Linked DNA regions of Macaca fascicularis. The protein of the gene in region 1 interacts with the protein of each later gene in a biochemical or structural test. Links are inferred from orthologs where the notes say so. Each region holds a gene or a part of one and is shown in the gene's direction. Other genes may lie near its edges. The genes, in order: STAM, USP8 and ARRB1.

Evidence for each region.
Region 2: the proteins of STAM (region 1) and USP8 form a complex in vitro, tested with the Homo sapiens proteins (2 studies listed by BioGRID). The link is inferred for Macaca fascicularis from reciprocal best matches to the Homo sapiens genes STAM and USP8.
Region 3: the proteins of STAM (region 1) and ARRB1 form a complex in vitro, tested with the Homo sapiens proteins (2 studies listed by BioGRID). The link is inferred for Macaca fascicularis from reciprocal best matches to the Homo sapiens genes STAM and ARRB1.

The regions. Positions count from the first base shown.
Region 1 is NC_088383.1:18,554,027-18,558,263, forward strand, and holds the start of STAM (signal transducing adapter molecule 1), read left to right. Parts: upstream 1-1,315; 5' UTR 1,316-1,508; coding exon 1,509-1,548; intron 1,549-4,237. UniProt on the Homo sapiens protein: Involved in intracellular signal transduction mediated by cytokines and growth factors. Upon IL-2 and GM-CSL stimulation, it plays a role in signaling leading to DNA synthesis and MYC induction. May also play a role in T-cell development.
Region 2 is NC_088381.1:26,904,345-26,908,621, forward strand, and holds the start of USP8 (ubiquitin carboxyl-terminal hydrolase 8), read left to right. Parts: upstream 1-1,410; 5' UTR 1,411-1,773; intron 1,774-4,277. UniProt on the Homo sapiens protein: Hydrolase that can remove conjugated ubiquitin from proteins and therefore plays an important regulatory role at the level of protein turnover by preventing degradation. Converts both 'Lys-48' an 'Lys-63'-linked ubiquitin chains.
Region 3 is NC_088388.1:74,136,189-74,139,833, reverse strand, and holds part of ARRB1 (beta-arrestin-1), read left to right. Parts: intron 1-1,447; coding exon 1,448-1,585; intron 1,586-2,676; coding exon 2,677-2,760; intron 2,761-3,645. UniProt on the Homo sapiens protein: Functions in regulating agonist-mediated G-protein coupled receptor (GPCR) signaling by mediating both receptor desensitization and resensitization processes.

The DNA.
Region 1 (4,237 bases):
GTTTCGCTCCCGGGTTCAAGCGATTCCCAGCCTCAGCCTCCCGAGTAGCTGGGATTACAAGCGCGCACCACCACGCCCGGCTAATTTTTTGTATTTTTAGTAGAGACGGGGTTTCACCATGGCCAGGCTGGTCTTGAACTCCTGACCTCTGGTGATCCGCCCGCCTCGGCCACCCAGAGTGCTGGGATTACACGCGTGAGCCACCGCGCCTGGCCGATCCTTTGTAATTTTTACCTAAATGACAAAACATTATGTAACTGCTACTTTAATTTGAACATTTCACTTTTAGAGGTGGGACTTCATTTTTAATGAATTTTTGTAAGCACTCTTTGTTTACTATATATTAATCCTGTGTTGACATGTCAGTATTAGTTTCCATGCTACATTTGGAGGTGCCGTAATTTGGGGGATAATTTCCATAATTTCAATTTACGTACAAGATGAGCTTACTAAGTTTGTTCCAAGTGGTATGCAAAATCTCTAGTGGATCCTCCTTAAAACTTCTCCATGACACAGAGAATAATTTTTATTGGTTAATTAAACTCAAAAGTAAAATAATTAAATCAACATTTTGAGTTGCTAGGAATCACTCACTGATCAACTTCTAGCTCCAGTTTTTTTGTTTTCTTTTTTTGCTCAGTCTAGGGAGGCTATCTTGGGCTGTGAAAGACATGTCACCAACCATCACAGCTGCTGAGTGACTGCACGGTTAGTCAGTAGGTGCCAACGCCCTACTAGCAGAGCTGTCTGCCGATTCCGAAGCCCGGCGTTCAGGGACTCCCGGGAAGGAGTCAGCGTTACCTCAGCCTCTCCGAGGGAGCCTCGCGCCCTGAACACTCCCCTCTTGGGATTCAGGCCAATCCGTTCAGCTCCCATGACTTCATCCAAGCAAATTTGTCACCTCACGCAGCGAATTAAACTGTTTACCTAGAAGATGATCCAAAGGAATTTGCATTTCCTTCCAGAGGGAATACAAGGTTATGATAACCGAGAGAGCGAGAGGAAAAAAGGGGCACGCCTCTACCCAAACTCAACCTGCTTTCTTTCTCCTGGGTCTTCCAGTCACTCCGGGGGTTGTTAGTAGGCTTCAGCACGCCTGAAGGACCCCGTCTTCCGGAGACTCCTAGCTAAGGGAAAAGCAGGAAACACAAGAACTAATCCCACTCTTCTGTGTGACTAATTAAAAGAGGAGTCAGGCAGAGGGGACTACCTGTTCAGCCTTTACTGATGGGGCAGGCTCGGGGCACCTTTGGGACAGGCAGTGCCGAGGTCGCCCAGATTCCCGACAAGCTCCGCGCGGGGGCCTTCTCGGCTCAGTGCTGTTGCCGCCGCCACCGCCGCTGCTGGGGTGGTTGCTGGGGTTGGGTGAGAGGGAGGAGCTGTCGCGGACCCTGTAGAGTCAGTCTCTGTTGCTGTTTTTGCCTGAGGAGTCTTCCTTCCTACGTCGAGCCCTGACTCCCGTGCTGTCGAGGGGGGAGTCCCCGCGGACACCTCGGCACGCAGTGGAGATGCCTCTCTTTGCCACCAATCCCTTCGATCAGGATGTTGGTAAGTGTTTTTGCTGCTCCCTGCCCATTCCTCACCGGACTGCACGCTCACTCTGCCAGCCCCTTCCTGCATTCAGGACCCTCGGACCAGGGCCGAGGAAGAGCTCGCTCTTCCCGTTTCCTGAGGTTCCCTCCTTCAGAGCTGGGAGGAGGTTGAGGACTTGGCGCATCCTCTTGAAAGAAATGGGACTCATCCTGTGAAATGGGCCTTGAGCTAGGACTGTAGGTTGCCAAAGAACTGCTGAAGGGGTTGGTGTAAAGGGCCTGGGAGGAGCAGCTGGTGTAGCATCTGGTGCAGGGACTGTGCTTCTGGACGAACAGCGAAGGGCTTAAGGCGTATGTCGGCTAGATTAGGATGGTAAACCCTATACCAAAAGTGCTTGCCTAGACAAATAAATGTTGAGCGTCTGGAACTGGCAGAATGTTTTAGGTAAGGTTCCTTAGAGGATTTTAAAATCTTTTTGCAACGGTAACTGAAGGAGGGAGCTCTGGTTAAGGTTAGACTCAAAAATGTTGCGAGCGATGAAGATGAAATACTTGGCAATAGCTGAAACCGAATTGAGGACCTGCGCCTTTGGGATGTCTCTCTTAGGCTAGGTCTCTGCCCTTAAAAAAGTGTAAAGAAGTGTGGAAGAAGTTGTTGAATCTGGAAAGAGTTTGAAGTGCTACATTTTTGTTGTTTTCTGAATCACTGGTTTTAGGTACTGATTATGTCAGTTCAATAGGTTTGCTTTTTGTTTATTTTTTATTTTATTTTATTTTTTTCCGGCTTGAAGATAATAATTATGGGAATTTGAGTTTCCGGGGAGAGAATTTTGGTTTAATATGAACGCACGTAGGAACTACCTTGGCACACAAGTGCGGAATGAAAGCAAGCCAAATACCATTTCCAAATCCCTTATGGCAGAAAGTAATGATTACTGTGAATAAGGACCACCTTATGAAGTTAATTTATACGTCTGTGTGTATTTTAATTATGAAAGATGGATGTTGAATTTTGCTTTTTTAACTCTTCCTTAGAGCATGTCACTGAAACTTGGAGGTTTATATAAGACTAGAAAAAAGGTTCATCCTTACCTCTGCCACTTCTCAGCTCACAGTGAAATCATAGGCAAGTTACGTTCTTTGAGTTCCAGTGTTCTTGTCTTCAAAGAGGGGAAAATACATCATTCCATTCTGCGGTTAAATGATATGTGTAGAGGGCCTGCTACAGTACCTTTATGTGATAGGCACTTACTAGATGCTACCTTTTTTTTTCCAGCTTAAATGAGTGTCCTGAATCTTAGCAGTGGACAGAACCTTGGAGATCACCGATTATACTTAATGAATTGGAAAATTGCATTTAACTTAATAAGCAGTTAGCACACACTACAGGACACAGTGGCTCAGTGACATAAGAGATACGGTGATGAGCAAGGCCTAGTTGCTGCTCTCAAGCAGTTTTACATCTCACTACATGAATCTCTAGGGGAAGTACTTAAAACAGCTTCTTAGTACTTGTTTCTTCTGTTTACAGTACCTTTGTCTAGTTTTCTTGGTCCTGTATAATTTAGCTAGCAACTACCCAATCACCTTTGTATTCTACTGACTTTGTGAACACGTATTTGCATTGGATTCAGGTAAATTTCTTAATGTCAAACCTGTTCCTAGTACCTGTACCACCCAGTTCAAACACAGTCACCTTCTTGCTTTTATGCTTTTGCCCTGTGCTTACGCTTTCTTTTCTCTTTCAACATATCCTTATGTGTTAAGGCCAACTCAGAATCCAACTTGTTATACCTGAATCGTTTCCTGATTGCTGTAGCAAAGGGTTTCTCAGTAGCAACGTTATTGACAGTTTGGACCAGATAAATATCTTTGTCATAGGGGTTTGTCCTGTGCAATGTAGGGTGTTCAGCCTTATCCCTGGCCTTTATCCACTAGATGCCAGTGACACCCAGCCCCCACTCATGATTTTAGAAGTCTCAGGACATTGCTACATGCCCCCTGGAGGGACAAAATACCTCCTAGTTGAGAACCACTGCACTAGTCCACTCTTAATTTCCACCTTCTTACAAAATCCTCTAACTTATTTTAGCATTTTTGTCTTTACCAAATTACTTAGCATTAAAGATATGTACTGTATTTTCCTACTTAATGAGTGGTTGCTACATAGAAGGTGTTTAATAAACGTTTGTTGAGTTGACAATGTGTCAGTTGAGCCTGCCAGATAGTACACTTCTTCAATGTAGCAACATTGTTTTGCTCCAGAAAAGCTTACTTTTAAAAGTTGCTCAAGTTTTGGTATTGGACCAATTCTCTTCTCACAGTCCGTGTATTGAAATATTCCAAAAGGTTTATCTGAGAAGACCCCTCAGAGATTCCCAGTACATAATCCTTGCGCAGATTCCAGTAGACTCCTATATTATTTTTAAATAGTATATAGAATACAGTGTATAAAATACACTTACTATTTTTTCTTTCACTATGTCATAACCAATGAGTATGTCATAACATTAAAGTAACTCATTTGATACAATTATTTATCACTTAACGCTTGTATACATTTGCACGTCTTCAAAATTATTTGTCTTCAGTCTTAATCTGAAGCAGAATCAGAAATTCACTGACTGATTTATATAATATAACATTTATTATAAAGAGACAAAATGCTGGTGATAGCTTTTCCCTTGAAGAAACACCGAAAGATG
Region 2 (4,277 bases), on another chromosome or scaffold:
TTTGGTGCACCCATCACCCGAGCAGTGTACACTGTACAATGTGGCACACACTTTCACTTAAAAGCGTCTACTAGATCTTTTTTTTTTTTTTTTTTTTTTTGAGGCGGAGTCTCGCTCTGTCGCCCAGGCTGGAGTGCAGTGGCGCGATCTCGGCTCACTGCAAGCTCCGCCTCCCGGGTTCCCGCCATTCTCCTGCCTCAGCCTCCCGAGTAGCTGGGACTACAGGCGCCGCCACCACGCCCGGCTAATTTTTTTGTATTTTTAGTGGAGACGGGGTTTCATTGTGTTAGCCAGGATGGTCTCGATCTCCTGACCTCGTGATCCGCCCGTCTCGGCCTCCCAAAGTGCTGGGATTACAGGCTTGAGCCACTGCGCCCGGCCTACGTCTACTAGATCTTGCTGCCAGATTTCCCATCCCTAAGACACCCGGAGTGTTCCTGAGGCCTTAGTGACTACTGCCTAAAGCTCCACCCAAATCAATTTTATGTTTACAGATAACCGGAGCATCCAATCACCTTTCTCTAAGAGAGTACAAAGATCAGCTCGCGAGAAAGTTCAGACCTCTCATTTCGTTTCTGTTAGACCGGCCTTCCCCCAACCAGACGGAGTCTTGCTCTGCTGCCCAGGCTGGAGTGCAGCAGCGCGATCTCGGCTCACTGCAACCTCCCCTCCCCGGGTTTAAGCAGTTCTCCTGCCTCAGCCACTGGAGTAGCTGGAATTACAGGCGCGCGCCACCACGCCAAGCTAATTTTTTTGTATTCTTAATAGAGATGGGGGGTGGGGGGGGGTTCACCATATTGGCCAGGCTGGTCTCGAACTCCTAACCTCATGATTTGCCCGCCTCGGCCTCCCGAAGTGCTGGGATTACAGGCGTGAGCCACCGTGCCCGGCCTCGACAGGGCCTTTTAAATGACGTTAAAAATTGTACATAAAATATGTTTTAGGATAATACCTGTTTTTCTTTGACCAAAGAAAGGCTTGGCTTCAGAGAATGTTAAGACAGAAATAGAGGGGCGTTAAATCCCCTTTTAAGTTTTTTCTAATTTCCAATCTGAGGAGGAAAATAACGTAGTAAAGGGATGCAAGAGCAACCTCGCTTCTTCCACAAGGCCCAGAATGCGAAGCGAACCTGGGCCGCTTGGCTACCGCCCGGTTGCAACCCGGAAATGCAGGGTGCAGTGCGGGGGGTACGGAACCGGCCGACTGTGTTGATCCGGCTCAGAGAAATCCCGCCCTTGCCGCCGCCGCCCACCCATAACGTCCTCCTCGACCCTCCCTCAACCCTCCCTCGCCCCGCCGCTCGGCCCTCACCGAAAGGGGGAGGGCGGTGAAAGAGAGAAGTCAAGGAGCGCACGCGAAGCCCAGCCCCTACCGTGACGTCTGGAGACGCGACGCGTCGCCTCGCAATGCAAATCGGGAAAAGGGGATGAGCTGGGCTGGCTTCCGTCCTGATAGCCAAGGCTAATTCTCCCTCGAGTTCTTGGGAGATGGGCGTTTGGCGAGAAGGCTGGCGTTAGTGAAGCGCGCCGGGCGTCACGGTGAGTGCGGGTCTTGGGCCCTGGCACCTGTCCTCTGGGAAGTCGTCCGCTGTGAACCCCCTCTCCTTCCACCAGCTGCTGGTCACCCGGGAGACAAGCCCTGTCCGCGGAGAGGAGTGGGACAACTCCGAAAGGTAGAACCGGCTTGTGGAGAGGAAGGGCCCAACCTTGAGTCTTTTACGCCACCCATCTAGGATTGCCAAGCGAGTTTCGTGCGGTTTTTCGGTTTTAAAAGGTGGCTTTGACCATTCTTCCGTTCTCTTGGACACTTATACCCGACTTTGACCTCTTTCCTCTTGCTTCCGGTTTTTTGTTTTTGGTTTTTTTTATTTTTTTTATTTTACTCTCTGCAATCTGCCTACAATCCCAGGCCTTACTACAGCTCCTAAAACTGTTTCCCAGTTTCTCCTCTTCCCTAGTCACACTTCATTTTAGTGAAGTAGGAGTTTAAAGACCCTATAAGCTTATCAGAGTTAAAACTATGACTGCCTCAAATAGAAGCTTTTCCCCGCCCCCCTAAAAAGTGCCTTCCAACCTAGAGTTGTGGGACAAGTTAATTTCGCCGCCACTCCACCTTGGAAATTATCGGAATCCTTACTTGCAGCGATGTGCATTTATATAGAAAGCTGCAGACCACCCTCCTGGGTTTATTTCTTGCCTCCAGTTCATTCTGTGACCTTGAACAAGTCACTTAATCACTAACAAAATATTTACCTGACACGGAGGTGTTGCAGAGCCTAAGGAATTTAGAATTTAAGAGACCTGAGGGTTTCAGATGAAAGGGATTTGTATCTAAAGGATATTACCTTTTCTGAATCTGCGAAGCATCCTTAGTTTTGTAAATATCTTGCTGCAGCCATTAAAAATGCCAAGTGGTTATTTGTTAAGGAAGTGTTCCTGTTTTAGGCTTGCTCTGCTGCGGCTTTGCCATGTAAGCAGATTTTGCATTTCAGCCGATTCTGTTTAAGATTCGTTGGTGAATGTCATTCATGATGGATTTGGGTAGTTTCTCCTTACAACATATCCCTGGACCATTAAGCATATCTGGAAGGTGATATCGGTTGTGTTATGTCTTTATCATGTTGATATGGCTGCCTTGAAATAGGTATTCCTTTTCTTGTGACACATTGGATGCATCTTTAATATTAGATAGTGAAGACCCTGTAGTAGTAAAAATATATATATATATATACACACCTGTCATTAATGAAATTTTGCACATAGGCATGTATTTTTTTTAGAAAACAATGTATAAGAAAAACTAACAAAAATGTTTTAAAGGTGACTTTTTTAGCATTTCATTTTTTAATATATTTACTTGGACTTTATTAATCATTATGGGCATTTGTTTATTAATGTGGACGTGGCTGGGCGCAGTGGCTCACGTCTGTAATGCCAGCACTTTCCGAGGCCGAGGAGAGTGGATCACCTGAGGTCAGGAGTTCGAGACCAGCCTGGCCAACATGGCGAAACCTGGTCTCTACTAAAAAACAAAATTAGCTGGGCATGGTGGCACACGCCTGTAATCCCAGCTACTCCAGGGGCTGAGGCAGGAGAATCGCTTGAACCGGGGAGGCAGAGGTTGCAGTGAGCTGAGATTGCACCATTGCACTCCAGCCTGGGTGACAAGAGCAAAACTGCATCTCAAAAAATTAAAATAAAAAGCGTGGACATAATGGAAAATAATCAAAATGACTTTTGAGTAAGACAGTTGGAAAATAAAACCAGTACATTAAATTTTTTTCATAAGTCTAGCATTATACTTTATTATGAACTTTTCTACATGAAAATGCGCTCATATTTACGGAAGTGAAAGGAAAAAAAGTCTTCAAGGATGTGTTGCTAATAAAATTAGAAATAATTAAGGAAACATTTAAAAAATACCTTGTTGTTGTCCCAGTTACCTATTGCTGCGTAACAAATGACTCCAAAACACAGTGGCTTAAAACTATAATTTATATCTCTCCTGTTTCTCTGGCCTGCCTGTACTTAGCTAAGTGGTTCTCACCTAGACTTTAATGCGTTTGTATTCAGATAAGCAGCTGAGTTTGGAGTCATCCGAGAGCTCAGCTGGTCTGGACATCCAAAATGGCTAATTCATGTGAAGGCAGTTGATGTTGGCTAGGAGTTCAGCTGGAAATGTCAACTGGAATGCCCACACATAGCCTCTTCACGTGACTTGAACTTCTGACGTGAACAGTATGGTGGTTAGGTTCCAAGAATACATGTTTGAGGAGACAGGAAATAGAAGCTGCGTGTCTCCCAAAAAGCCTGAACCCAGAAATAGGCACAACATTATTTCCAACATACTCTGTTGGTTAGAGCAGTCAGACCAGTATCCAACCCTCACTTTTGAAGGGAAAAATGTCAAAGAATTTGTGGCCATGCTTTGTCTACTGTAATTTTGATGACAAAGTTGTATTGGACTCTTGTTTGCATTTATATAGCAGATGAATAATAAGGTATGCTTCCAATTTCCAATTTCTTTTCTTTTTTTTTTTTTTTTTTTTTTGAGATGGAGTCTTGCTCTGTCGCCAGGCTGGAGTGCAGCGGTACGATCTCGGCTTTTTGCAACCTCTGCCTCCTGGGTTTATGCCATTCTCTTGCCTCAGCCTCCCAAGTAGCATGTCGCCACGCCCAGCTAATTTTTGTATTTAGTAGAGATGGAGTTTCACCATGTTGGCCAGGATGGTCTCGATCTCTTGACCTTGTGATCCACCCGCCTCAGCCTCCCAAAGT
Region 3 (3,645 bases), on another chromosome or scaffold:
AACACAGCTCGTCTGACTCCAAGGCTTGTTCACTATCTGCTGCATGACAGCTCTCTCATTGGAAAGGGTGGAGGATAGAGCAAAAGCAAGTAAAAATTGGACAGTCAAAACGCCCTATGTATGATGGATGTGATCAAGCAAGTAACGTTTTAATTGTTGAGCCTATATGATGGGTATATGGCTGCCCAAATAGCTTCATTTATGGTTTGTGTGTAGCTATAATTTTTTCTTTTTAAAATTTGTTTAGAGACAGGGCTGGTGCTTATGCCTATAATCCCAGCGCTTTGGGAGGCTGAAGAAGGCGGATCACTTGAGGTCAGGAGTTTGAGACCATCCTGGCCAACATGGCGAAACCCCATCTCTACTAAAAATACACAAATTAGTTGGGCATGGTGGTGTGCGCCCGTAATGCCAACTACTTGAGAGGCTGAAGTAGGAGAATTGCTTGAACCTGGGAGGTGGAGGTTCCAGTGAGCCAGGATCACACCACTGTACTGTAGCGTGGGCGACAGAGCGAGACTCTGTCTCAAAAAATAAAATAAAAATTAAATAAAATAAAAAAATTAAATTAAATTAAATGTTTAGAGACAGAGTTTCACTCTGTTGCTCAGGCTGGAGTGCAGTGGTATGATCATGGCTCACTACAGCTAGCCTCGAACTCCTGGGCTCAAGTGATCGTCCTGCCTCAGCCTCCCAAGTAGCTAGGACTATAGGTGTCTGCCACCATATCGGGCTAATATTTAAAATTTTTTGTAGAGATGGGGTCTTGCTATGTTGCCCAGGCTGGTCTCAAACTCCTGGCCTCAAGCAATCCTCCTGTCAGCCTCTCAAGTTGCTGGGATTACAGGCATAAGCAACTGTGCCGGCTGTGGCTGTAATTTATTATTATTATTATTTTTGATATGGAGTCTTGGCTCACTGCAAGCTTCGCCTCCCGGGTTCATGCCATTCTCCTGCCTCAGTCTCCCAAGTAGCTGGGACTACAGACGCCCGCCACCACACCCGGCTAATTTTTTGTATTTTTAGTAGAGATGGGATTTCATCATGTTGGCCATGCTGGTCTCAAACTCCTGACCTCAGGTGATCCACCCACCTCAGCCTCCCAAAGTCCTGGGATTACAGGCGTGAGCCACCGTCCCCGGCCAGCTGTAATTTTTTAAATGAATACGCTTTTCAGCACTGTGCTGCTTGACTTGGACAATCTTTTAGAATATCCCAGATTCAGTGCTGTTTGTGCATAGAATGTAGATAGATGTGCCTCTTTTGAGTGGCAGTGGTTCTCCTTGCCTGAGCTGGGCTGGCCCAAGTGGTCCGTGCATCTGGGGAACAGAGGTTGGGAGAGGGAGACTTGGAGCAGGCCCAGACTAGATATTCTGCTGGGCTGGAGATCAGGGGTGGGGTTGGCTCTGGGGAGGGCCATCTCCACAGCTGCTTCCCTTCTTCCCAGTGACACTGTGGCACCCAGCTCGACGTTCTGCAAGGTCTACACACTGACCCCCTTCCTAGCCAATAACCGAGAGAAGCGAGGCCTCGCCTTGGACGGGAAGCTCAAGCATGAAGACACGAACTTGGCCTCTAGCACCCTGTGAGGACCTGCCCTCCTAGTCCTGGGCTCCTAGTGCACCTTGCCTGATGGGGCCACACCCTCCTTGGTCCCCCCAGTTCAAAGACAAAGCTCAGGCTACCCTCTCCACAGCCTTGTCAGGGCCTGTCCTCAGGTGCTTGACTTGTCAGGGAAGCTGCCTCCTTGCTCCCATTCCTACCCAGGGGTGACTGAGAATAAGATGGACCACTAGGCCAGCTCGCTCAGGCAGTGCTGGGCTCTGCTACCATGCCTGGGGGAGGGCAACCTGGGAAGGCTTCCTGCAAGAGGTGGCAGCTTCTGACATAATGCCTTCAGTCAGATGGGGTGTCCCTGAGGAGAGACCAGGGTGGTGAGCTGGGTTAGACCCAACATGAGGTACCCCTCCAAGTCAGGGGTCCCAGGGCATCTTGTCACTTCTGCTGCACGGTCATCATGGATGCCTCTAGGCTACTCTGCTCCAGCAGAGCCCTGGCTATGGGGATGCCATCTTGCCCTCTTGCGAGTGTGGTCCTTCAGTGGGGCTTTGGCCTGAGTCTAGAGCAGCTGCCACTCCAGCACAGACTCTCTCAGCTCTCCTCAGCAGCCCCTGCACAGCCTCCCACTTACCTGAAGCTTTTTGCCCTGTCTCCACACTGGCTCACACCCTATCCACCTTCAAGACCCAGCTGAGGCACCACTTCTGTGGAGAAGTCCTTCTCTGACGGCCCCCACCCCATCCAAGCTGCCTGGCCCTCTGTGAACGCTGTGTGTGGCCGTTTCTGCCCATGGGTTGCTGAGAGAAGCAGAATCCATCTGAGGGGAGAAGGAGCCCGGCCATCACTGCGGGCATGCTGACCTGGGCAGGGAGAGGGGCTCAACAGGGCTACACAGCGAGCGAGTCTCACAGCCAGACTTGGAACCGGGGCTCTGGGTCCCTGCTACCTAAGGGCACTGCTCACCTTCCTCACCTCCACTGCACTTTACTGGACATGGTAGCTCAGTGGCCAGCCAAATGGGGGATGGATGGCCACTGCCCCCCAGCACACCCACCCCTGAGGTGTCTCGCCCACCTGGCAAGGCCCCTGAACCGGCTCCCCTGTGTCACTTTGCAGGTTGAGGGAAGGCGCCAACCGTGAGATCCTGGGGATCATTGTTTCCTACAAAGTGAAAGTAAAGCTGGTGGTGTCTCGGGGCGGGTGAGTGCTCTAGCCAAGCCCAAGACCCTGGTGTGCAGAGGGGAGCGTTGCAGATGCTCACAGGCCCCTGCCCCATTCTGCCTGTTTGCAGCCATTTTAGCTGCATCCACCTTGGAGGAGGAACCTCCTGTCCCTTCTGTTCCTCTTTCTCCTCCCCTGCCCGCTTTTCCTCTCTTCCTTCCTTGGCCCTCAGCCCCTCTCTTACCCCCGGCCATCTCTTTCTCTCCTCCTTCTCCTCCTCTATCCTGGGTCTGGGCTCACACTGAGGATTGGCCATGCCCAGGGGACGGCGTCCTCAGAGTCTATGCTGTGGGGTGCCCAGGGGTGCAATCTCCTCATCACACTGTGGGCATGGCACCCACCCCCATGCATGCCCAAGCTAATTTTCCGAGGAAACAGCTAAAAGGGCTCAGAACCCAGAGCTGGATTGCGGATTTACTAGCTAGTCAGCTTTGCCTTTTTACAGATGGTGAAACAGAGGCCCAAACAGTGCCCCAAACATTGCCTGAAATCTCCTCCCCTAACTCAGGTCATGGGCTGGGGTCATAGCAGTGGACCAGACTTCCCTGCCCTGGAGCATAGTTTGGTGGAAGCTTGGGGAGAAGAAGAAAAAACAACTACGTTTCTTTTTTGTAACTTAATTCATAAATTTATATGAAAAGATTGAAAAGCTAAATCTCATTAGACATTGGGTCTCCTTGATTATTAGAAGAATGCCTCTTGGCAGTGGCAGTGTGTAATCCTGACCTTATATAATAAAACATCTCAAAATTACAAATCCCAAATCCTGTGTCTGGTGACCTTTCAGGATCTGCAGTCCCTCAAACATTCTTGGCAACTCCGGAGTCCTTCCCTCTGCCTTTAGATAGCCCAGCCTCCCTTGGG